2 linked regions of the Medicago truncatula genome follow. Each later gene encodes a partner of the first gene's protein in a complex. Links are inferred from orthologs where the notes say so. Each region holds a gene or a part of one and is shown in the gene's direction. Other genes may lie near its edges. The genes, in order: gamma-tubulin complex component 2 and mitotic-spindle organizing protein 1B.

Region 1 (12,544 bases):
TATTGTTAAAAGGCTTAAATATTGCACTCGTCCCTGCAAATATGGTCCGTTTAAGTTTTGGTCCTTGTAAAATAAAAATTCAGAAATCAGTCCCCGCAAAAAAATCTGTCTTTTAAAAATACCCCTGGACCCATTTAAGTCATGACAAGTCACCAAAATGCCTACGTGGCGCACGCTGATTGAACCCATTTTGTAGTTTTTGGTCCCTGCAAAATATTTTGTTTTCTAAAAAGGTCCCGGCAAAATTTTTTGTTTTTGAAAATAGTCCCTGGAGGGACTATTTTCAAAAACAAAAAAATTTGCGGGGACTGATTTCTGAATTTTTATTTTACAAGGACCAAAACTTAAACGGACCATATTTGCAGGGACGAGTGCAATATTTAAGCCTTGTTAAAAATCCAAGTTCTTATCGTGAATTGTATTTGTATGTGTAGTACGATCTAACAGGAAAATTGCGGTCTATAAAACACTACCTTCTGCATGATATCCAAGAGAATAGCAGACTAATTGCTTCAAAGTTGAAGGAGAAGAAATTCACAATTTCTAAGCTATTGATCTCCAAATGTTGTCAACATTCAACATGATTTAAATTAGTACCATTTGGGGTAAGTGAAGCACAACTTGATCACTCAATGTAATTGAAGAAAGTGAAGCAGATGCACAATAATAAAATTTGATTCATATGGACTAAAATTAGCATTTGGATTTACTTGCACAGATGATGTAAAAGATTCAATTTTCATTTTGAAATTGGCCATCTAATCTTTAGAGAGAGAGAGAGAGAGCAACTATGTAGATATAGATATTAGATATAGAAACTACAGTCGCACCCATATACACGGGTACAAAACACAACTACTCTTGAAGGAACATAAAACCACAGCTTGATACACAGACATAAAAGCAATATCACAGTATGCTTAAAACAGCGAAACAAGGATAAGCACAAGCTGAACCCCTTGCTTAGCAACTTATTAATTTAGAGAATATTGAATACTAAACGGTGAGGGGTTTAACGGAGCTTGCACTTCAACAGTACCTTCAAGCATATGTATCACATTTCTCATGGTTGATCTAAGACATGCATCCTCTTGAACACACCAAATAGCAATCTTTACCAATTTCTCCAAATTTTCCTTGTCCTCCAATGCCTCATTGTCACCCTCAACCAATGCACCTAAAGCACCATATTTGTAGCAATCATAAGCCCAATCAGTTAAGATAGCTTTGTCTTCATCTTCTTCATCCATTTCTTCAACACATTTTCTACATGAAATTATCTCAAGTAGCACTACACCATAACTATACACATCAACCTTAGCTGTGATAGGCATGTTTTTAAACCATTCAAGTGCAACATACCCTTTTGTTCCTCTTATGCCAGTGTTGGTTTTGCTTTGATTCATGTTCAACAGCTTTGCTAATCCAAAATCAGAAATTCTTGCATTGAAGTAATCATCAAGGAGTATGTTCTGAGGCTTTATGTCACAATGGATGATCCTAGTGATGCACTCTTCATGTAAATACACAAGTCCTCTAGCTATACCTATTGCAAGTTCTAGCCTTAGTTTCCAACTTGGTTTTTGTTTCTCATCATCAGCATTGAAAAGAAAACTTGCCAAAGTGCCATTGCTCATGTACTCATAAACAAGCAATCTTTCACTTCTACACTCACAAAATCCAAGTAAACGAACCAAGTTCTTGTGATGAGTGAGACCAATGGAATTCAACTCATTCCTGAATTCCCTATGGGCTTGATCCAACAAAAAACTGTTTAACTTTTGCACTGCCACCCGAGTTTTGGAATCTGTGTCGTTGTTGATGACTCCTTCGTAAACAATACCAAAAGCTCCCCTTCCTAGCTCTTTGTCAAATCCATTGGTAGCTTCTTCAAGCTCTTCATAAGTGAAGCAACACAAATTGGATTTAATTTCAACACACGTGTCACCTTTGATAACTCTTCTAAGCTTTTTCTTGTGCTGAAAAATGGAGGTGCTGACACAGATTGTTACAATCAATACAACATTGAGAATAGCAGAGCTACCAAAAAGCACAGAACCAACCAAAACCAATGTTTGTCTATTATTATTATTATTATTATTATTATTATTGTTATTATTATTATTATTATTCTTATTATTGTTATTGTTATTATTATTATTGTTATTATTATTATTATTATTCGTGTTCACTTCTTTTCTCACTTTTAAGAGAGCCTTGGCACCACCAAGACTCGCATCAACTCTTCAATTTGAGAGTGGTAACTTCTTCTTCCAACAACTATCACCTAACCTCCAAATAGCCACAGAACACATGCAATCTTCCATACTAGCTTTCCTACATTGTTCATCTGTAAAACGCGTTAGAAGCACGGCATCTGATAGAGGCCAATCAGTGTCATTCAAAACCTGAAACTCATATAGATCCTTTGTTTTACTTTGTTCATCTTCTGCACATCCTTGTATGAAATCTGGCTTGCAGCTACCATGTGGATCATCAGGATCAAGCAGTGAGTAACGTTTTGGACACCGACATGTTGGTCTCTTATCATCTCCCAAAGTGCAGATGGTATTATATCCACAAACACCACTACCTGAACTAACAATATATTGACATATATTTTTAGGATGAGACCACACTGTAGTCCAATTTCCACTATCAGTTGAGTTCTTTGGATGCTTGAAAGGTGAAAACACTCCATCAAAATTAAGAGTTGCTCTAAGATAAAAATTAGTAGGGGAGACTTTACTCTCCTCATCTTGTACTCCATCTTCTCCTGAGATATAGAATTTCTCACTGTTCTCTCTCAAGAGATACAAGTCTCCTGATTTGTCAAAGACCAATTGAGCTCCAGGACTTGAAGTATTGGATTCCACAGTTCCACTTTCATAGTAGTTTTCTTCATTAGCATTACCAGATGGTAAGATAATAGAATGAATAACAAGATTACTATCATTTTTTAAAACAAGCTCAAACCTTCCTTTACTGAAATTTGACTCCTTAAGCCTTGAAGAAAGCTTTCCATCTTTTAGAATAACCTGAGAAGGCAACAAGGTGTCACAGGGAAAGTCGAAAGTCTGCCAAAGAGTGTTGAAAGCGCGACCTCCAAGCACAAAGTTCCCCGTGTCATTGAGCACACTGGAAAAAACATCACTACTGAGTTGCTCATTATTCCATAACCTTACACCATTCGGAGAAGTTAGCACCAACCCATCAGTGAAAGTTAGCTCCACTTTTGACCCTATTGTTACAGGACTGACTCCATTAGGATACCACACAACAGTTTTCTCTAAAAAATTTGCATACCAGATGGAAAGCAAAAAATGATCAGTGTTTTGATTGAAAGAAAACCAAAGGCAAAGTCACCAGAAGGTGAAAGCAACCATGGAGAGGTGTTGGTTTCTGAAATATGAAAATCACCAGCTGCTATGGTACTTTTGGTTTGAGCTACAACACTGATGGATTGAAGAATCAGTGAGAAGAGAAAAAAGGGAAGAAGTAGAAAGAAAAAAAAAATTATCAAAGCACTAAAATATAAAAGACAGGAGATGCCTGAACCAATACAACAAAGTCAGTAAGTGTATAACCTGCGAAAAGGAAAATTAGATCTATCCCTGTAACGGAAACATCTAGAGGAAAGAGGTGGCTAAGTCCACCATAATACAGAAAAGCTAAACAGATTGTAGAATCAAATTGATCCATATGATTTATAAAAATTTCATCATCATTAGTCTTTCTTCTTTTCTTTTTTTTTGGCACCAAGTCATTAGTCTTTCTTCTATTTGTTAAATATTCTGTGTAGACTTGGTCATCTCATACTAATAGACAAAAAATGTTATAGAAAAAGAAATGAGAGTAATAATAGACAAAAGATAATAAATGGTGGTGATTATAATAGAAAAAAGACGTTAAAACCCATTGAAAAAAAATATGGTTCTACATGAAAAATTCAAGATTTTTTCCATACATGTTTAAGACATTAAAGTATGGATTTGCACAAAAAAAAATTGGAATTTTTCAACTAGGATAAATTAATTATGAATTTTTAAAACGGTAAAAACTTAAAAAACAAAATAACGGAGATTTTGACTTATAAATCAAATTTTTAGTTATTTGTTTGGAGAGACATCTATAAAAATACATAAAAAAGATTTGCATAGTTTCATGAGATTTCAAAAATGTTTTGATTTATTTTTACTCTCAAACCAAAATATGCAAAATTGTAATTTTGTTTCGAATAAATGTATACTCATAAGTCAAATTTCATTCTTTAATTGTGTAGTCATGGCTAGAACATCGTAAGAATCTTCACGATAAAATTTTAAAGTTTTAAGAAAAGAGAGAGATTAATCATGGCATAAAAAATCATAATTATCAGTCCCTAGTGGAATTTTTTTTGTGTGTAGTCTTATTACAAGGTTAGTATATTTGTTTTTTTATTTATTTTACTGAGACATTTTTCAGACATCAGGTTAATTTGAGCAATTGACCCTGTAAATAAATTAAATATAAAAGGATCCCTAAAAAAATTATATATAAAAGGAATACATTATTTGAATTGACTTTTTCATTTCTTATTATATCTTGTAACAAACTTACCTATAATCTATTACTCTCTCCTTATTTTATTAAACTTGTTTTGATATTTTCACACATATTATGAAATATAGTTAATTTTGTATTGCAAAGAGAAATTATAAATGATTTCACAAAATTATCCCTTATTAATGATATGTGAAAAAAAGATTAAAAAATTGAAAAAAATAGAGTAATAAATGGTAAATGGTACGATAGGAATGATGCATTTCAATTCTAAAGCGACTTATAATAAAACCAATTTTTTTTCTTTTAAAGTGACTTACAATAAAATACGAAGGATAATGCCTATTAAGTATGCATAAACATAATACACCCATAACGCTAGAATTCGGACTCAAAAACACACCAATAAACTATCATATGTGGAGCAAAGGAAAGTAATAACCAGTATCAAAGTAACCACAATGAGCAGCAACAACAACAACAAACCTAGATTTAATCTAGGAATAAAGTGAAGAGTACAAAACCACAAGCAAAAGATAAAGAGATAAGAGAAACAAACACACATAGAAATGTTTACCCAGTTCGGCCCAACTTGACCTACTATGGGGAGAGATTGATCTCTCCAAGCCATTATCAATGAGTTCTTACAAAGAGATACAAAAATGTTACAAGAAATTGGGGAAATGTTTACAAATGTTTTCCTACCCAAGAAAACCCCTCAAAAGAACCTTAATCAAAGGGGCAATGCTATGTTGTAGGAAAGATGGCCGCAAGAATAGCAAGAATAACATTGTCCGCTCTTTTCTAAAAAATAAAAAAGTATTAATCCTTATGTAATGGAAATCACGCCCATGTGTTGGTGAAAATGCACGGCTTGGATATTTTCGTGCGTTTTGTCTCTTCGGGTTCCCTTAAAAACAAGCATTATCCTAAGCAAAAACCCTTAACTCTAAAGTTATCTAATTTGATTTTTTTAAGTTTCTTTCTCTTGAAGCCTTTTATAGTGCTCAGACCCGGCAAAAATGTGCCCCAATTTCAGCAAATTGTGCCCCAATTTACCCAATAGTACCACAGTACACATATTTCCTTATCCAAAATCGGACTTCGATTTTACCAAATTGTGGTCTGAAAAATGTCGAAAGAACACTCCAAAAGTGGGCCAAAATCGTGGCCTGATTTTGGCCTACCCTCTATTCATCAAATTTGAGTCATAATACAACATTTTTTATGTATTTTTCTTTTCACATTTTAGCGTACTATATTAAGGTTAAATATGTTTTTGATCTCTATAAATATATCACATTTAGTCCTCATAAAAAACATTGACATATTTATGTCTCCATAAAAAATAAAAAAAAATTAGCATGCTTATGCAAATATTTTTAAAAAAGGCTAACCATATTTTTAAAAAAGACTAACGAGTGTCTTTGGGGTATTGATTAAAGTATTAAAAGTGGTAAATTTATCTAAAAAAACGTGTAATTATTGGAGTAACTTATATTTTTAAGACAAAATTTCATTTAATGAAATCATTAAATAATGTCCGTAGGGCAATCGTTAACAAGATGTACCAAAGGAAACTTAAAAAATTCTTATGGCAATTAGAAACGAAATGTAATGTAATGTATTTATATTTATATAAATTATAAAGGTGTTTAACCCGATTTAAGTTTTCAAATCCACGGTGGTAGTTGAGAGCTTGAAACGTGTTTCTTCTAACGTATCAGGTTTGATTTTTCCCGATATCAATTTCGATGAGTTTTTTTTTTTTTTTTTTTTAAGTTTTCAAGATTGATACTATTAATGAGAAAGAAAAAAAAAAAGAGTAAATTACACTTCCCTCCCCTCAAAGATGCTTGAATTACACTACCCTCCCCTCTTATGTTAAAATATACATTCCCCTATCCTCTTATTCAAAACTTATTTGAATTTTTTTCACTCCCCTCCCCTAAGAGAAGCTTGAATTACATTCCCCTCCCCTCTTATGTTAAAATATAGAGTAAATTACACTCCCCTCCCCTCAAAGATGCTTGAATTACACTCCCCTCCCCTCTTATGTTAAAATATACACTCCCTTCCCCTCTTATTCAAAACTTATTTGAATTTTTTTCACTCCCCTCCCCTAAGAGAAGCTTGAATTACATTCCCCTCCCCTCTTATGTTAAAATCTACACTTTACTCCTTCAATATTAATTTTTATTTTATTTTTAATAATCTAGCAAAAAAATAATAATCTAACACACTTCAAAAAAATAGTATTGTGGGTCTATTTTAATATAATAAAAATTGAATACATATTTTTCGCTATTTTTTATTCACAATTTCATTAACATGTAGTTTTAAACCCTATTATAAAATATAAACAACCAAAACTAAAATTAAAATATGTGAAAAATTACTAAAGACAAATTAAAAGTTAATTTTATACTCTAAATTATAAAATCAGTAGCAAAATGTTTAAACTTAATTATCATTGACATTTAAATTATAAAGAAATGAATTAATTTTTCTTAAATGGTGGTTTAAAATTGAAATATATTATAAAAATATTTATTTATGTTTAAATAGATTAAAGTGTAGTCCATAGTTAATTATTAAGGGAGAGTGTTGTAATTTAAACATCTTATAAGGGAAGGGATTATAAATTTTATTTTTCAAGAGAGGGGAGTGTATATTTTAATATAAGAGGAGAGGGGAGTGTAATTCAAGCATCTTTGAGAGGAGGAGAGTGTAATTTACTAAAGAAAAATAACTTGGACAATTTCAGAGATAAAATCAAAGTGAGTTTTTGACTTAAAAATAAATAAAATAAAATAAAATAAAAAGGAGTTATTTTGAAAAGTGAAGAATGGAATGGAGAGATTCCTGAAAAGAAGAAACCAGACAAAATTCAAAATAATAGAGAGAATAAAGAAGTAAGAAGAAAATCTAGTGAGTTAACAACTTCACTTCACTCTCTCTGCATTTATCTTCCCATAGTTCATAACATCTCTTTCCCATTTCGATTCGCAAATAATCTTTAAAAAAGCGATTACTGAAAAGCGCTTTTTCTTCCGATCTGCTTTCACTGCATTTCAACATGAATCAAACCGCCGCCGCAGGGTTTGAAAATCTTATCGGCTATTACGATCCTCCTGTTCAAGTACGTTCCTCCCTCTCTCTCTCTCTCACTTATCGAACCATTCTCAGATCTATTGTCACCTATCAACTTTTTGTTCTCTTCATTTTGGTGCTTGTTTTTCGAATTTCTGTGTAGTCTCTAAGAATGTGATTGCTCAAGTATTCTCTAGTAGTGTAATTGCCTTCGATTCTATTCAATTTTTACCTAACATTTTATCTTAGTTCAAAAACCTAACTTCAATTCAAAATACATATGTTTATACTGTATATAAGCTTTTTTATACGGCACATTGCTCGGAATTAAGAAAATGTACTATTTGTTATGCCAAGGGAAGGACCTTTTTTTTTTCAATTTTTTTTTTTTAACAAATTAGACAAAGTGAACTATGCTATGATTATTGGTAAGAAATTAAGGTCCTGGCTATGCTTTGTAGTGTCATCAAGTAGCGGCTATAGCAGAAACAGAATTTTAACATATCGTTATGGTTTTATGACACACATTTTAGTTCAAAGTATCCTCAAATATCGGATATAGGAAAGCATAGCATAATTTGAACAAACTACTACATTGCAATCTGTGATTGACAACAATGTTATTCTTTCATCAAACTGCATAGATTAGGTTTTTTAAATATTTTTGAAAATTATTTCACTTTGTGTCCTCTATATGCTGCCATCTTATTTGGCTTGGTGTTGTATTGGTTTTTAAAGTTTTCTCTTTGTGTGTGTATGTATTCATTTCTATTCATATGTATTCAAGTACTGTGTATATCTGCATTCATATTCAATTTAGGGTTTCAAGATTTAAAAATTTAAGCTATTGTTTTGTTCTACTGAAATATAGGAGCTTATTGTTATTGATGAAGTCCTCTCTGCTATGGTTGGAGTTGAAGGGCGTTACATTTCAATCAAAACACTTCGTGGAAAGAAGGATGAGATTATTAATTTCCTGGTTGACCCATCTATGGATTTGGCACTACAGGTGAGATTTGCATAATTTTTCGCTACCATGGTTTGACCCGCAATCATAACATTAAAGGTGTTAAACCTCCCCCTTTTTCTTTATGGTGATAATAACTGATAACTGATAGGAAGTTTAGATGGCAAGCCAAACTATAGCGGTAACGGAAATACTTTCTATACATTTTTTTTTTTATAGACTAGAAGTTTATAAGGTGTTTAATATGTTCAGTATCATAACCTAGTGCTAAAATAAAATAGGTTCATTAAAGCCATTTAGGTTTTACTTTCATGTTTCTGTATTATTATTTTTTGTAAACTTTAGAAATGGAATATGAAGCATCTATCTTGCAATTCAAATACTGCAATGCTTTTTAATTTAAGTTGCACTCTGTGTTTGGCAGTAATTCAAAATAAAGGAAATTATTTTCTGCAACCATGTTTTCTATATTCGGTCATTGTTTCAAACTGTGATTTGCATCCATAACTCTGCCCCCGAATTGTGTTTTTGGAGGTATCTATTTGCTAAGAAAGCTGATGGGGAATGTAAATTGTCCTATGCTATAGCTGTATTATTCAGATTAGATAATGAACAGTATAATTTAATACAATGATAGAGCTGAGTCTGAGCCAGTTTTGTTGTTGCAGGAGTTGGCAAAACGGATATTTCCTCTATGTAGGAGCTTTTTGTTGATCAACCAATTTGTGGAATCAAGGTCTCAGTTCGAGAATGGCCTAGTCAATCATGCCTTTTCTGCCGCACTTAGGGCATTCCTTCTCGTATGTTTTTCTGAACAGTGAGTCAGTTGGTTGATTTACATTTCGCATGAAGTAATTGTTTGCTTCTTGAAAATATGTTTTCATGTGTCTGTGTGTCTATATATATTCACCTTTTATAAATGGCCCTTAACTTCTTTTGGTAACCTGTTATTGTCTGGTAGACTAATTATTTTTCTTAAGTATTTCAAGTGTTAATGTTTAGTGCATGATGCTGGCTCAGTATACCTGAAGTAGCACCTTCTGATTCTTTTCCGAACGAAGCTTACAGCACACTACCTTTATTTATCTTCTGTTGGGGGCAGGGGATATAAATAGATCATAGTTTCTACGAGGAACTGTTGTTTAGTGATCACTTTTATTTATTTATTTACTTTGAGAATACTCTTTCCTAGGGAATGGCAATCAAACTTTAGTTAAAAGTGTGCATTTAGTTTGTTAATTTTCTCCCCGGTGCCAATTTTGGTGGGCTAGTTTAGCTTCTTAAAAATAAAAGTTTGGTAATTTTCATTTTCTGGACTACAGATTTCTAAGATTGAAAATCAGTAGAGTTAGTTGTCCTGTAGTGTTATGCAAAACCGGCGCTTTAGGTTTAAGGTGTGCCCGACACACACATGACATGTGTCTGACACTCAATTTTAGTGTTGGGATATAATTTGTTTAGGCTTCGATATGTCGAGGACACTGCTCTGACATCTAGCATACCCTTCCGTTTGGCCTGAAATTAAAAGGAACATGGTTGGTACCAAAAACTTTTTTTTTTTTTTAAATGGTGATGAAAGTCCTTTCATTGACTTAATATACTTTTTCACTATTTGGTAATAGATGGATGGATTAAAGGTGATAGACAAAGGTTCAATATCTCATCATATTGTATTGAATCTTTTTTGCAAAGAATTTATCTAAAAAAAAAAAGAATATTTTGTTGCAAAGAATCAAAGTGCTTAACTAACTAGTATTTTTAGGCGTGACTCGTTATGGTAGGAAAATGTAATACTTCAAGTTCTTTCTGTTTGTGTGTCATGGAGTGCTATATTTTGGACATTGCCGGTGTTTATGTGTCTACAATGTGTCGGTTTCAGTGCATCATGAGGTCAAGTCTAAAATTTTATTTAGTATCTTACCCACTTGAATTTTCAAACTCATTTAGGGTCAAATATTTTGTAGAAGTAGTAGGACTCAATATGTTTGAAATGTGCTCTAGTTTAGTTTGGAATGTAGTGTTTTTATTTTCAAAAAATTTTGGTAGAAGAATTTGTAGGATAAGGGATCTTCCAAAAAAAGATGAAACTTCAATGGGCCAAAGTTGCCAGTGCCCGTTAGTGAAATCCCTCCACAAAGATGATACCCCGGGGGTATTACCCCCTTTTGTTGAACTAAAGCAGTTTGTTTGATACTCTCGTAATCTTAGAACCAAGGTTCTGCTGAATAGCTTCCTTCTCCAATACAACAACCAAGCCATGTCCCATTAAGTGGGTCGGCTACATGGATCAAACCACTTCATAATGTCTATCAAATACCATATGTGTATCCAACTCATCAATCCCCAGATCTTTCTTAATAGTTTCTCTTATAGTTATCTAGGTCTTCCTTTACCTCTAGTGATTTCACTCCCCTTCATCTGATCTACTTTCCTTATCACAAAATCATAGGTCTTCTCTCTACATGCCGAAACCACCTAAGCCTATGTAAATATCTGATTTGCAGGTTATTACTTAATGAGAAAGCTAAAATGATTTTAATAAGCAAAAACTAGTAGCATAGCATAAATTAACAAAATAAATCTTCACATCTGTTTCAGTTCTGCCTGCGTATATGATATCTTTTGATTAAAATGTGCAATTTGAATACGAAATTACTTTTACCATTAAGGCATGCCATTATCTTTACCAGGATTACCAGGCCATGGTGGCACAACTTGAGCACCAGTTTCGGCTTGGGAGACTTTCCCTTCAAGGATTGTGGTTCTACTGTCAGGTATGAATTTGTTTCGGATTAAATGTAAATCAGTAAATGTTTGTCAAATTATTGCTGATAATACCTTCAATGATGTGTTTCAGCCCATGTTGAGGTCAATGCAAGCATTGTCTACTGTCATACAGAAGGCTTCAGTCAACAATTTTACTGGTTCCGCCGTTCTTAACTTACTGCAGAGCCAGGTAATGAATATCTCTTGTAATTGTCACCATTTTCTAAAGTCTTCACATGTTAAAAAACTTCCCTTTAGTTTCATGTATCAGTTTCTCAAGCACTTAACTCTCTCTCCACTATGGATTCAATTGTATATAGGCAAAGGCTATGGCTGGAGATAATGCAGTTAGGTTGTTGCTGGAGAAAATGACACAATGTGCAAGTAGGGCCTACATGAGCATTTTAGAAAGGTTTCTATTTATCTCCTTTAATATGCCATTTATCATTGGCTAGCAAATGCATATGTTATTTTCTTCTCCCGTATTCCATCTCCTTTGGGTTATTGGGTATGTTTGGAGAGAAGGGAACCAAATAAGTTAAAGTAAAAATATGGAAGAAAAGAGAGAGAAAAAAAAATGAGGAACGATAAGTAAATAATTTACTTCCTTTTGTGTGGATTTTAAAAAAAATGTTCATAAAATTTAATATAGGTTGATTTTGGATCACCTGAAAATCCTTCATTCGTTTCTTTTCATATAGTTCACAAGGTCCAAGCAAAATGAAGGATTGACCTTCTTTTTCCATTCTCTTCGATCCGTTTACCTAGATCTGATAATTAATATGTAGAGAAAGCCCTATGTTGAATCAGATTAATATTCTACTATTATGCTGTTTGTATTGGAATTTTGCACAAATAAGAATAATTAATCTTGTACATTGGTATGATCTATCTATAACATGTAGAAAAGCCATAGACTTACACCAAATCAAATTAATATTCAGTTATACTGTTTGTATTGGTTTTTACATGAATCTCACTATAAATAAATATTTAAAAGCCATGTCACCGTCTTTTGGCGTCCAGACCATGCTTATGGGGACACATACATCTAAGTTCCCTTTTTCAAACTCCTTATAATCTTTTCTACAAGTTAATTTCCCTTAAGTTATGATTGTCTTGTGCACTCTTGATGTTGAGTTATCTCTAATTAACATTCCATATTATTGTTCATTT
Region 2 (13,026 bases), on another chromosome or scaffold:
TGGGAATGGAATCTCTATGCCTTTAATGACTATAATTATTGGAGATGCTATTAATGCTTTTGGAGGAAATGTTAGCACTAAACAAGTAGTTCATCAAGTTTCCAAGGTAACAACTATTTAATCCATTGGTGAAATATTCTATAGGGAAGATGTGAAAATAGTGTTATATGGAATGGTTTCTTTTTGTTGAAGCATACAAGTATAGAGTAATTTTTATTCTAAATTTATGTCATATCACATTCCAACTGTCTATATTATGTTCGATCAGTGTCATCGATTCATTTGTGCAGTAAGTATGTGCTTTGTTGGTATCTAATTCAACAAGAATCAACTTTAGTTTTGATGAGAACAATTTGGATTTCAAATTTTCCTATTTTCATTTCATAATTTAACATGGTTCATTTCATGCTCCCAGGTGTCTGTCAAGTTTGCAATCATGGGTGCATGTGCCTTTTTTGCAGCGTTTCTACGTAAGCATGCCGAACTTTCTAGATTAGTATAATTCAACTTAATATAACCATAAAATTTTAAATATAATTTATATTAATATTAAAATAGCAAAGGTAAATACATGAAATTTTGCAGAGGTGTCTTGTTGGATGATCACAGGGGAGAGACAGGCTGCAAGAATAAGGGCATTATACCTCAAAGCAATTTTAAGGCAAGATATCAGTTTCTTTGACAAGGAAACAAATAGTGGTGAGGTTGTTGGAAGAATGTCAGGTGATACAGTTCTTATTCAAGAAGCCATGGGAGACAAGGTATGAATGCAGCATCATTTGATCTAACCATGATAACAAAATTCGAAGATAATAATAACTCATTCTTCCTTTTTTGGTGGATATGTTCTGCAGGTAGGAAAATTCATACAATATGTGTCATGTTTTTTAGGAGGTTTAGTTGTGGCATTCATCTTGGGTTGGCTTTTAACCCTTGTCCTTCTATCGTCTATTCCTCTTCTTGTCCTCTCTGGTTCCATAATGAGCTTTGCTTTCGCAATGATGGCATCCCGTGGACAAACGGCATATTCTGAAGCAGCAACTATAGTAGAGCAGATAATCGGTTCAATTCGAACAGTATGTGTGCCAACTCCCTCCATAGAGAATATTTCCTTTTTTTCCTTTCCTTTTTCATGTTTCTAACTAAGGATACACGACGCAACTGCTCCAATGCGCGCAGGTTGCATCATTTACCGGCGAGAAACAAGCTATATCTCAATACAATCAATCCTTAGCTAAAGCTTACAAAGTTGGAGTACAAGAGGGATTGGCTATTGGTTTAGGCCTCGGTTCGGTTCGTTTATTTGTTTACTGCAGTTATGCTTTGGCTGTATGGTTTGGAGGGAAGATGGTACTTGAGAAAGGTTATACAGGAGGTGAAGTCATAAGTGTATTTTTTGCAGTACTAACTGGTTCCTTGTAAGTCAAGTTAAGTTATTTTTTTGCAAGATTAGACTCTCATACATAAATCACTTTTTATGAGCTAATTTTATTTTCTAGGTCTCTAGGACAAGCAACTTCGAGCTTAACAGCATTTTCTGCTGGACAAGCTGCAGCCTTTAAGATGTTTGAAACAATCAAAAGGAAGCCGGAAATTGATGCTTATGACAAAATCGGGCTAAAGCTTAATGACATTCAGGGAGACATAGAGCTTAGGGAGGTTTGCTTTAGTTATCCTACAAGACCAAATGAACTAATATTCAATGCATTTTCTCTTTCGATATCAAGTGGTACTACCGTGGCTTTAGTCGGGCAAAGTGGGAGTGGAAAATCAACAGTGATAAATTTGATAGAGAGATTTTATGATCCACAGGATGGTCAAATTATCATTGACGGTATTGACCTCAGAGAATTTCAATTGAAATGGATCAGACAGAAAATAGGCCTAGTGAGTCAGGAACCAGTTCTCTTTACTTGTAGCATTAAAGAGAACATTGCCTATGGTAAGGATGCGGCAACCGATGAAGAAATCCGAGCTGCAGCAGAACTTGCTAATGCTGCTAACTTCATCGATAAATTTCCTCTTGTAAGCTCTCATTTCTTGATTTATCCATCTTGTGAAAATTTCTACACTGTTCTGCTTTTTCACAATACTGGAGACTATTTTATAGTATATATTTTTTCATTAAATTTAAATGTCCTTTTTACCTTACTAGTACTGGAAAATTATTGATTTAGGGACTTGAAACGATGGTCGGTGAGCATGGAGCACAACTCTCTGGAGGCCAAAAGCAAAGAATTGCTATAGCAAGAGCAATTCTGAAAGATCCAAGAATTCTACTCCTTGATGAAGCAACAAGTGCCCTTGATGCAGAATCTGAAAGAGTAGTACAAGAGACCCTGGACAGAATTATGATAAACCGAACAACCATCATTGTAGCTCACCGCCTAAGCACAATAAGGAACGCTGATATCATTGCTGTTATTCACGAAGGAAAAGTAGTAGAAAAAGGTAACATACATACATACATACATACATACATAAATACATACATGCATGCATGCATACTAAGTATGTCGCAATGCAGCAGTCTTATATCTTCTACTAACTGATTATTAGGTACACATGCTGAGCTCACTAAAAATCCTGATGGAGCTTATAGTCAACTCATTAGATTGCAAGAAATTAAAAAGGATTCATCAGAACAGTTTGGTGATAATGACTCGGATAAGCTAGAAAACTTTGTAGACTCTGGAAGAGAGTCAAGCCAAAGGTCTTTAAGCCGCGGATCATCAGGGATTGGAAACAGTAGTCACAACTCATTCATAGCATCAAATTCTATGCCAGACACACTAGTAGGAGGGTCTGAAGTTGTTCCTTCAGCAAAAGCATCATCAACTAAAACTCGAGATGCCCCATTTTTTCTCCTTGCTTATCTTAACAAGCCTGAAATCCCGGTGTTACTCATGGGAGCTCTGGCAGCAACAGTAAATGGTGCAATGTTACCTATTCTGGGCCTTCTAATCTCCAAAATGATAAATACATTTTTTGAGCCTGCAGATGAACTTCGTAAAGACTCAAAATTTTGGGCATTAATATTTGTTTCCCTTAGCGTGGCATCTTTCATTTTTCATCCGTTAAGGTCATACTCTTTTGCTGTAGCTGGTTCTAAATTGATAAAAAGAATCCGGTTAATGTGCTTCGAGAAAATAATTCACATGGAAGTAGGATGGTTTGATAAAGCTGAGAATTCAAGTGGTGCGCTTGGTGCAAGGCTGTCAACTGATGCTGCTTCGATTCGAACTTTGGTTGGTGACGCACTCGGTTTGCTTGTTCAAGATATCTCTACAGTTATTACAGCCTTGGTAATTTCCTTTCAGGCAAATTGGCAGCTTTCTCTCATCATTCTTGTTTTGTTGCCTCTACTATTAGTAAATGGATATTTTCAAATCAAGGCCATGCAAGGATTCAGCACAGACGCAAAGGTTTGTGCCTTACACAATGTGCTTCAATTGCGTCACAATGCATTTTTGTCTCTAAATTTATTTAGTACATATTTTGTTTCTATATGAAATTTGTACTAATCTTCATTTGACATGATGTTTCTATGCTCTAAATATGTTTCACAGAAACTATACGAGGAAGCAAGTCAAGTAGCGAACGACGCAGTAGGGAATATCAGAACAGTTTCTGCTTTCTGTGCCGAAGAGAAAGTGATGGAATTATACCAGAAGAAATGTGTAGTACCATTCCAGACAGGAAAAAGGCAGGGTTTAGTCAGTGGAACTGGTTTTGGGTTAGCAATCTTCTTTCTGTTTTGTGTCTATGCAATCAGTTTTTATGCTGGCGCCCAACTTATTGAGAATGGCAAAACTTCGATGTCAGGAGTTTTTCAAGTAAGTTACGGTCCCAACTCGGAGGCCATTTCAGATATAGTGCTCTTTGGTTGAACTCTGAGCTCATCACATTCTTTTAGCATTAAACATTTAATTTCTTTTCAGGTATTTTTCTCTCTCACAACGGCAGCTGTCGCATTATCTCAATCCGGCTTCATGGCTCCAGGAGCTAGTAAAGCCAAAAGTTCAGCTGCTTCAGTATTTGCTATTCTTGATCAGAAATCAAAAATAGATACCAGTGATGAATCAGGAATGATACTGGAAGATGTGAAGGGAGAGATTGAGTTCCATCATGTCACTTTCAAGTATCCAACCAGACCTGATGTTCATATATTCAAAAATCTTTCCTTGACCATTCATTCAGGACAGGTAAATTAAAAATATTATATATTGGTTTAGTGCATAATTCTCACAAGAATTCACTATCAAAAAATCCATCTAGGTTTTTCTAAGAGAGAAGCTTAACGTTTGGTTGTTTCAATCAGACAGTTGCTCTAGTAGGTGAAAGTGGAAGTGGAAAATCAACAGTGATCTCATTGTTGCAAAGATTTTATGATCCAGATTCAGGTCAGATTAAACTGGATGGAACAGAAATCCAAAAGCTACAGCTTAAATGGTTTAGGCAGCAAATGGGACTGGTAAGCCAAGAGCCTGTGCTGTTTAATGACACCATCAGAGCTAACATTGCCTATGGAAAAGGTGGTAATGCAACTGAGGCTGAAGTTATAGCTGCAGCAGAACTAGCAAATGCTCATAACTTCATTAGTAGTTTGCAGCAGGTAAACTACAGAAATTTATGAAGCATTGACACGTACACAAACACTAAATTGTTTATGGTTCTGTTAAGAGAGGAAACCAAACTGAACTTTTACTACTTCGGTAAGAATGAACCAAACCTTTAATGGTTCATCCAGGACCTAAACAAACTAGTATAAAGGTTCGGTGCACCGATTCAGTGGTTTCAAACCAAACGGAAAATATTTTTACAAAAAAACGAACTGTACTTTTTTCAAACTGAACTAGTTCTTTGTGAATTTAATTGTACCAAATTGCTATTATTAATTGATAATTAGGGCTGTTGAAGAAAACCAAAAACGAAACCAAATTGAATTTTATGACTGTTTAAAAAACTAAAAATCGAATCACTCATAAAAGAACCAAACTATGATAGATAGTTCATGAACTGAACCGAACTGAGTTCAGTCCAGTTCGTGAACTGTCAGTCACAATTAGATTTTTTCGGTATGGTGGAGTTCGCTTCGGTTTAACTGTTCCATACATTTTTTTTAAACAGTCCTAACTGACACGATGTTGACTCTAACACGAAGGCATTAGTAAGAATTTAAGAAAATAAACGTGTAACCGCATGTGTTAGAATCATCGTGTTAGACACTAGACATGTCTTTGATCTAAAGTGTCAGTACTACATAGCACACAATACTCAATGAGCTGAACCTGTTCTTAAAACTCTTGCTACGAACGTGTGAATTGCAATATTTCAAATAACTAGCTACCTATGATGCATGCCTTACGAGGTTCTGAATTCTAGAAAAATAACATATGCAGGGGTATGATACAATAGTAGGAGAGCGAGGGATTCAACTTTCTGGAGGACAGAAGCAACGTGTGGCAATTGCAAGAGCCATAGTTAACAGGCCAAGAATATTACTACTAGATGAGGCCACAAGTGCCCTTGATGCAGAGTCTGAAAAAGTGGTTCAAGATGCACTTGATAGAGTGAGGGTGGACAGAACCACCATTGTGGTGGCTCATAGATTATCAACAATAAAGGGTGCAAATTCAATTGCAGTTGTTAAAAATGGAGTGATTGAAGAGAAAGGAAAACATGACATATTGATCAACAAGGGTGGCACCTATGCTTCTTTAGTAGCATTGCACACAACTAGCACTGCTTCATCTTAAGACTCTTTCAACCTATTCAATCTATTTTTGCATGCTTCTTCAAAAAAAAAAAAAAAATTCTATTTTTGCATGGTTTCTAGAATAAGTTATTTTGAAAAAGTTTTTTTTTATACACACACATTCTGCTGCATCTAATATATAGAAGCATTTATATACATGCTTATTACCTCCAGTACGATTGACACTATTGTGTACATTTTTTTTTTTTTTTGGTAAAATGCTTAAGTATACATTTAACAATGAATTGTGTCATTTTAACAACAAATTATAGGGTTAACACAATTTAAGTAGCACCACTTCATCTTAAGACTCTTCACATTGTTGTATTTATATATACTGTTACTTTTTATATTCTATAAGAAATCTTGATTTTCTATCAATTAATTTAATAACTGTTTCATATTTTTAGGTAAAAATATGATTTTTCATACGGTACTTTGACTATATCTTCTGTTCTCCTTCTAATTCATTAAATTTGATATTATTTAGCTTTGTTTATGTACATTTTCTACTCTCTTTTTTTTTTTTTTTTATATAAAAAAACTTTACATCATCATTTTGTTTTCTAATTCTATTTTTTCACGTTGTATTTTATTTTAAAAAATCTAAAATTTAAATGTGATAATTGATTATTATTATTATTGACGATAAAGAAAAGTAAGTAAAAGATAATCAATTACAAGACACATAGGAACTCCTGTATTGTTTAAATGGGTACCAAAGGTTGGATAAATGTGGTAAGTATAAAAAAAAGTTGGATAACTCAACTGATTTGAACCTAAAGATTAAAGAAGCCGAGGTGATAAAAATTTAGGGTAGTTCAAGTTCGTTGATTTGAACCTAAAGATTAAAGAAGCCGAGGTGATAAAAATTTAGGGTAGTTCAAGTTCGTTTAATGAGAAAAATACTAACATATAACATAATAATGTTTGTCATTAAAAAAATGCTTAAGTGGATTTCACATAGTTCATTTTATAATTTTGGATATCAATAACTAATAATATCTAATGAGCATTCAATTTCTTCAACTCAACATTTCAATTGTTGTAATAAATAAATTCTATAAATAACCATATCATTACCATTAAACAAAACTAATTTATTTTAAAATATTTTATTAAGTTGGGTCCGCAAAAATAAACAACAAAGATTCTTTTAATAAACATCATTCTCTAGAAGAACTCAAAATTATCGTTTGACAACATAGGTATGTATTTAGATGTTAAATAAACGAAGCACACACCATTGTGATGCTCGGTGAAAAGGGAGCGGAAAGGTGGTTTGTTACCCCTAAACAAATATGAAGCTAATTAAAAAAAGGTAATTAACTTTCGTTTGGTTCGAGAGTTTTGGAAGGGAGGAAATATATTTAATTTGATGTGTTTGATTCAATTTTAAAAAGGCCTTTAAGATTTTCATATTATATAATCCGAAGTGAGTTTTTTTTTTCCTTTTTTTGTAGAACATTGTTTTTTTCCACCAATTTGGATTATAAAATTTGAAAAGAAAAAAAAAAAGTACTTCGTATTTTATAATACGAACACTCCTTGTACAACATACTTGGAAACATAAAATCCGAACTCCCTATACATCTTCTTATGTTAAGAATTCATGAGAAAATATATCAGATTATATAATCTGAATCCTGCTATCAACACAAAAGACTAAGCATTTTTGTGTAGGATAACCAATTTAAGAATCATATTAAACATCCTAAGGCCATTGTTCGATGTTTCCGCCATGTCTTATAAAAAAATCCAATTTTTAGGCTAGTTGATGAGTTTTTACTTCAAAACTTGTGATATTGGATTATTAACCCACTACAAGGATTCTAAATCGTGTTTTTCTAGTTCGAATTAATAAACACAAACATCAAAAATATGCTGGGAATAAGACTAAGGGCAAAGAAAGTATGGTGAGAAAAATAATTGCCTAAAAGAATACACAATTACCGACCTAAACTCATCTATAAATACAAAATTTGCGACCTAAAATCTCAAATTAATTTTAATTCTTATTCTTTTTTCCACCGCCGCTCCGTCCAAGCCTTTCATCTCTGTTTCGCAGTTGGCATAGGTTCTGATTCTGCAATCTCTCTGCCACGCCGCAACATCTTTCACCTTCGCATCAGCAGGTTTTATCGATTGATCCTTTCTTTTCTTTCAGAATTACTACCGATCACTTATAAATCACAATTTTAACATTGAATTGAATTAAGTATTATTGCTGATTGTTTTTTTATGAGTCACTTTTTGTTGCCGTACCGAGTACTGTGAATCACAATTGCAACACTGCATTGAATTTTGTTATTTTCTTAAATTTTACTATTATTATTATTGTTATTATCAATGTCACGATTGTTTGCAATGATCTTGTGAACACAATTAATTTATGAGAATATAATCCCCGTCAACACTTATATGGAGGTCTCCTTTTTCATGGCAACGGATTCAAGTGCTTTCAAATGATGAATCCAAAAAACAAAAGAATCATACCATTTTCAATATAATTAACAATATTGATTTGTTGTGTTAGTGTGATTTTCAACAATATTAATATGTAAAACTCAAACGAACTTTGTTAATTATTTTTAAATGAATTTACATGATAAAGATCAAAAGAATTATGTTTAAAGTAATTAAACTCACAAATTTAGCGAGAGGAGAACTTGTGAGAATTATACCATTTTTTTTTTTCTTTCTGGCTAAAATGACTTTAGAGTGAGAATTAGGGTTCCCCTAAGAACATTAGAAGAGTGATGAGCCATCAATTGCCAATGTTTGTGAATTACGCTTTTTGCAATATGATAGTGAGAAGATAAAGGAAGGAAGTGTGTTGATAACAAGTGGTCATGTAACCAGTGATGATGAATCATAGAAGGATGATAACAACAATGAAAAGAACAAGTCGGCGTTGAGTTTCAAGAGTTCTAAAGACAAGATTTTGCAAACATCTCAAGATTGCAAGGAACCGCTTCTAATAACGATATTGAAGAGAAGAAGATTGATGAAAGTGAAACTTAATTCGGGTCCATACATGTTATGAATTTTTAATGAGCTTCCAAGTGATGTTTTTGAATATGAAACCATTTAGCGTCTTTTTTTAGTTTATATTTTTTATTAGGAATGATATTATGATTTTGTGTGGATACCCTTGATGTTGTTATGTAATTTGCCTTGTTGGCAATTTTTTTAATTATAATATCACATGTATTATTGAGCCTTTTATGAAATACATAATAAAACCGCTTAATAATCCATAAATATATTATAACTAAAAATCCTCAATAAGGAAAATTACATGACAACATCAAAGGTATCCCACACAAAAATCATGCTATCATTTCTCATACAATAAACATAAACAAAAAAGAGACACTAATTGGTTTCATCTTCAAAATCATCACTTGGAAGCTCATTCGAATCAAAATTCATAACAACTATTGACCCTAATTCAGTTTCACTTTCGTTAATCTTCTTCTCTTCAATATCATTATTAGAGGAGTCATGTTCCTTGCAATCTTGTGATGTTTGAAAAATCTGTCTTTAGGAATCTTGAACCTCAACACCTGTCGTGGCGGTTAAATACAAAAGCTTTCTTGCAATATGATATATGGTAAAGAGAAGATGAAGGAAGTGTGCTGCTAACAATTAGTCATGTTACGAGTGATGATGAATCATAGAAGGATGATAGCCACAATGAAAAGAACAATTCGGCGTTGAGTTTCAAAATTTCTAAAGATAAGATTTTTCGAACATCTCAAGATTGCAAGGAATTGCCTCTTGTAACCATATTGAAGAGAAGAAGATTAATGAAGGTGAAACTTAATTCGGATCAATACATGTTATGAATTATGATTTTAATGATCTTCCAAGTGATGCTTTTGAATATGAAACCAATTATCATCTCTTTTTTTGTTTATATTTTTTGTTACGAATAATATTATGATTTTTGTGTGGGATAGCCATGATGTTGTTATTTAAATTTGCCTTTTTGATAGTTTTTTAAATTATAATATCACACGTATTATTGAGCAGTATACAAAATACAAACGGCATAATAATAAAAATTCTCAATAAGGAAAATTACATGACAACATTAAGGGTATGGAACACAAATTATATTATCATTTCTCATTCAATTTATATAACAAAAAAAAAGACACTAGTTGGTTTCATCTTCAAAACCATCACTTGGAAGCTCGTTCAATTCAAAATTCATAACAATTATTGACCCTAATTCAGTTTCACTTTCGTTAATCTTCTTCTCTTCAATATCGTTATTATCGTTATTATAGGAGTCACGTTCCTTGCAATCGTGATGTTTGAAAAAATCTTGTCTTTAGGAATCTTAAACCTTAACACCCACTTCTTCATTTCATTGTGGCTATTATTCTTTAATAATTCATCAAAATCACTTGTAACATATCAATTGTTAGCAACACAACTTGTTCCTTAATCTTTTCATTATCATCCATGATGTTGCAAGAAAGTCTGTGCCTTTTACTGTCATGATTGTGATTCACATCAAAATTGGCAGTTTCCTAGTAACTCCATGAGACGAGTTCAACTGTGTTTGATCATCAATAATAACTCTTTTGTTCTTATATGTTATTCGGAGATTCTCACTCTAAAACCATTTTCTGAACAAAAAAAAAAAAGGAATAATTCTCACTCACAAATTGTCCTCTTCAGTCTTCATAGAGCATGATTAGAATGTTATAATTTCTACTCGCTAATTTTGTAGCTAGGTTTTATCATGTTAATTCATTTAAACATGATTCTTGCGAGATTCATCGCGTTAATTCATTTAAAAATGTTAGAAAATTACACTAGCACATCTGATCAATATTCTTAATCATATTGAATATGATATGATATTTTTTTTTTTGGATTCACTTTGAACTCAATTGTATCCAATGTGTAATTTTTTTTTACAGGGTGACTAATTTTCATTTCGTAGTCGCCATGAAAAGGGAGGCCTGAAGAAACCCATTTTCGTCTGTTGTCCTTAATAATATTTTCCTCGATCATAAATTAGTTTGTCGAGGACATCATCTGCATATAAGTTTTTGAAATTTTTAATTAGTAAGCCTATCATCATACCATCTTTTTGTGACATTAATGTCCACATTACAATGTCATGAACCCCTGATTGAGAATGTGTTTCACTTAGAATTCGAAGTACTCTACCTACACGAATAATATGTTCCAAACCTAATAAATTAATGCATAATTGTGACAACTGAATTTTATAGAACTTTTAAATGTTGAATAAAGATCAAATCACTCATAGATAAAATAGTAGTCTTCCTACCATGTTCAATCAAATTTCACGTGTTATACTCTTTAATATCATTGTAACATGATAAAAATCGTCAGCGTTATTGACTTTACTTGGTTGGGTTGCATCATCTAATTTTGATACATGTTGTTAAACTAGTGGCTGCAAGGGAAGCCCTCATGTAAGTCAAGTTAGGAGGACTGTAAGGAAAATGGGACTTCAGTTCAATTCTAAGAGGCAATTGCCTTTTCCAACTTCAATAAGGCAATCATGTACTCTTGGAATCGAACCGAAGTTCCCATTTTTGTGATTCTTCAACATTTTTTGTTCTTCCTATGTGTAGTACTTTTCCCATTGATCCTGCTGTGTTCTTTGTAGTGGTGATATTGATCCACCAGGCACCCATAATTGACTGCACATGAGGTTTGATGTTTTAATTTATATTAAGAAAACTTATCTTTGTTTAAGGGTTTTATTGTTGTTTGTTTTAGACGATGGGATTTTAATGTATATTATATGTCATGGATTTTTGTGTATTTGTTATGTGCTTTATTTTACAAGTTATAGCCATTTATCAGTTATCTATGAAGTTTAGCTTTACATTTGTTATTAACTGGTTCTACCGACGGTTGGACCATGACTTGGGGTCTCGCCAGTTCAACTTCAGGTCTGGTTTGAAAACATTGACTTTAGGTTTTAGATAGTAGTTTAGAAGGTAACTTTGACATGTGTTTAGGTGTTTTCATTTTGCAATTCTGAACTAGTAAACATATCATATGCACATCTCAGCTTTAAGCATGGATCCTGAAGCTGCAAGAAGTGCACGAGAATCTTTGGACCTGGCATTTCACATGTCCAATATACTCGACACGGGTTTAGACCGTCATGCACTTTCTATTCTCATTGCCCTCTGTGATCTTGGGGTCAATCCTGAAGCACTTGCTGCTATTGTCAAGGAACTTAGAAAGGAGAGGCTCCCACTGTCATCATTGCTTCCTACACCTCCTTCTTAATCATGAATGTATTTTGTTATATCTCTCTCCAATGTTGTTTTATGGAAGGTATTTTTTATGTTTATATTTGAATTGTTGTATGCATATTGAGACACTGGTTTATCAAGAAATGTTGGTTAATTTTTTAAAGCATTATAGACAAAAGAAACAATGGAAGAATAGTTTAGGTGTATTCGATTTCTTCCTGATAGAAGTATTAGTTTTGTTTTGTTCTTTTTGTTAATTTTTCCAATTGACAGAAACTCTTACAAAAGCTATTATCTGAATTTATTGCAAGATTGATTCATCTTGGAAGCAATATGTATTTTAGCAAGGTTTCCTAGTAATAGTGTACCTGCCTAATGTTTATATATATTTTCTTATTACACTTATGAAACAAGGAAGGCTTTACTTTCTTATTTTATGTGACGTATATACAGGTCAAATATTGTATTTATTTGGTAGCTACATTTCTAAAAGATGGGGCAGATTGTTTTCTATTTCATAAGTTCTTATTTCTTTCATTTTGTTTTGGTCACTATTTGTAAACTTAAATCAGGCTTGAAGCTTCCTAGCTTTTTGAGACTTGCCTATTATTCTTTTGTTTAGGTTCAATAACCTTTGGTTTGAACTTAGTTTACTCAGTACATGTCGTTTCTTAGGATTTTTATACTTTGTTTTCATGCCTTGGTGTAGGAATCGTAATGTCTGCATCTTTTATAGAAATTACATTTCATCAACTTGTGAGGGCTCTAATGTATTTATGTGGAATGTTTGTGATGGCAGGTATAACTTCATGAATTCTTTAAAAAAAAAAAAAAAGTATAATTTCATGAATAGTAAGAAGATTAGGTCCTGTGAGCGAAATTCAAATGCATTTGTTATAACCCCAAGAGTTTTTCTTCTTTTTTTTTTCTTCTTCTTTCTAATGCAGTTTTGATGACAGAGATTTGAATCGCAGTTCAAAATATTGTGGTAGTTAACCCTAAACA

What was found.
Region 2: gamma-tubulin complex component 2 (region 1) and mitotic-spindle organizing protein 1B share a complex: the UniProt entries of both Arabidopsis thaliana proteins name them as parts of the gamma-tubulin complex. The link is inferred for Medicago truncatula from reciprocal best matches to the Arabidopsis thaliana genes AT5G17410 and GIP1.

Annotation. Positions count from the first base shown.
Region 1 is NC_053049.1:2,943,588-2,956,131, forward strand, and holds the start of gamma-tubulin complex component 2, read left to right. Parts: upstream 1-7,392; 5' UTR 7,393-7,621; coding exon 7,622-7,684; intron 7,685-8,506; coding exon 8,507-8,644; intron 8,645-9,270; coding exon 9,271-9,402; exon of another isoform or gene 9,403-9,419; intron 9,420-11,292; coding exon 11,293-11,376; intron 11,377-11,459; coding exon 11,460-11,558; intron 11,559-11,688; coding exon 11,689-11,780; intron 11,781-12,544. Other genes in the region: G-type lectin S-receptor-like serine/threonine-protein kinase RLK1, read right to left, coding at 123-134; G-type lectin S-receptor-like serine/threonine-protein kinase RLK1, read right to left, coding at 2,247-3,289, 3,588-3,702. UniProt on the Arabidopsis thaliana protein: Gamma-tubulin complex is necessary for microtubule nucleation at the microtubule organizing centers (MTOCs). Required for the positioning of the gamma-tubulin-containing complex on pre-existing microtubules and for the proper organization of cortical arrays.
Region 2 is NC_053045.1:59,334,291-59,347,316, forward strand, and holds mitotic-spindle organizing protein 1B, read left to right. Parts: upstream 1-7,615; 5' UTR 7,616-7,893; intron 7,894-10,698; 5' UTR 10,699-11,818; coding exon 11,819-12,055; 3' UTR 12,056-12,184; downstream 12,185-13,026. Other genes in the region: ABC transporter B family member 3, read left to right, coding at 1-106, 416-470, 586-761, 855-1,076, 1,180-1,418, 1,500-2,025, 2,178-2,451, 2,560-3,425 and 4 more. UniProt on the Arabidopsis thaliana protein: Required for gamma-tubulin complex recruitment to the microtubule organizing centers (MTOCs). During mitosis, modulates gamma-tubulin complex localization, spindle stability and chromosomal segregation. Necessary for gametophyte development and embryogenesis.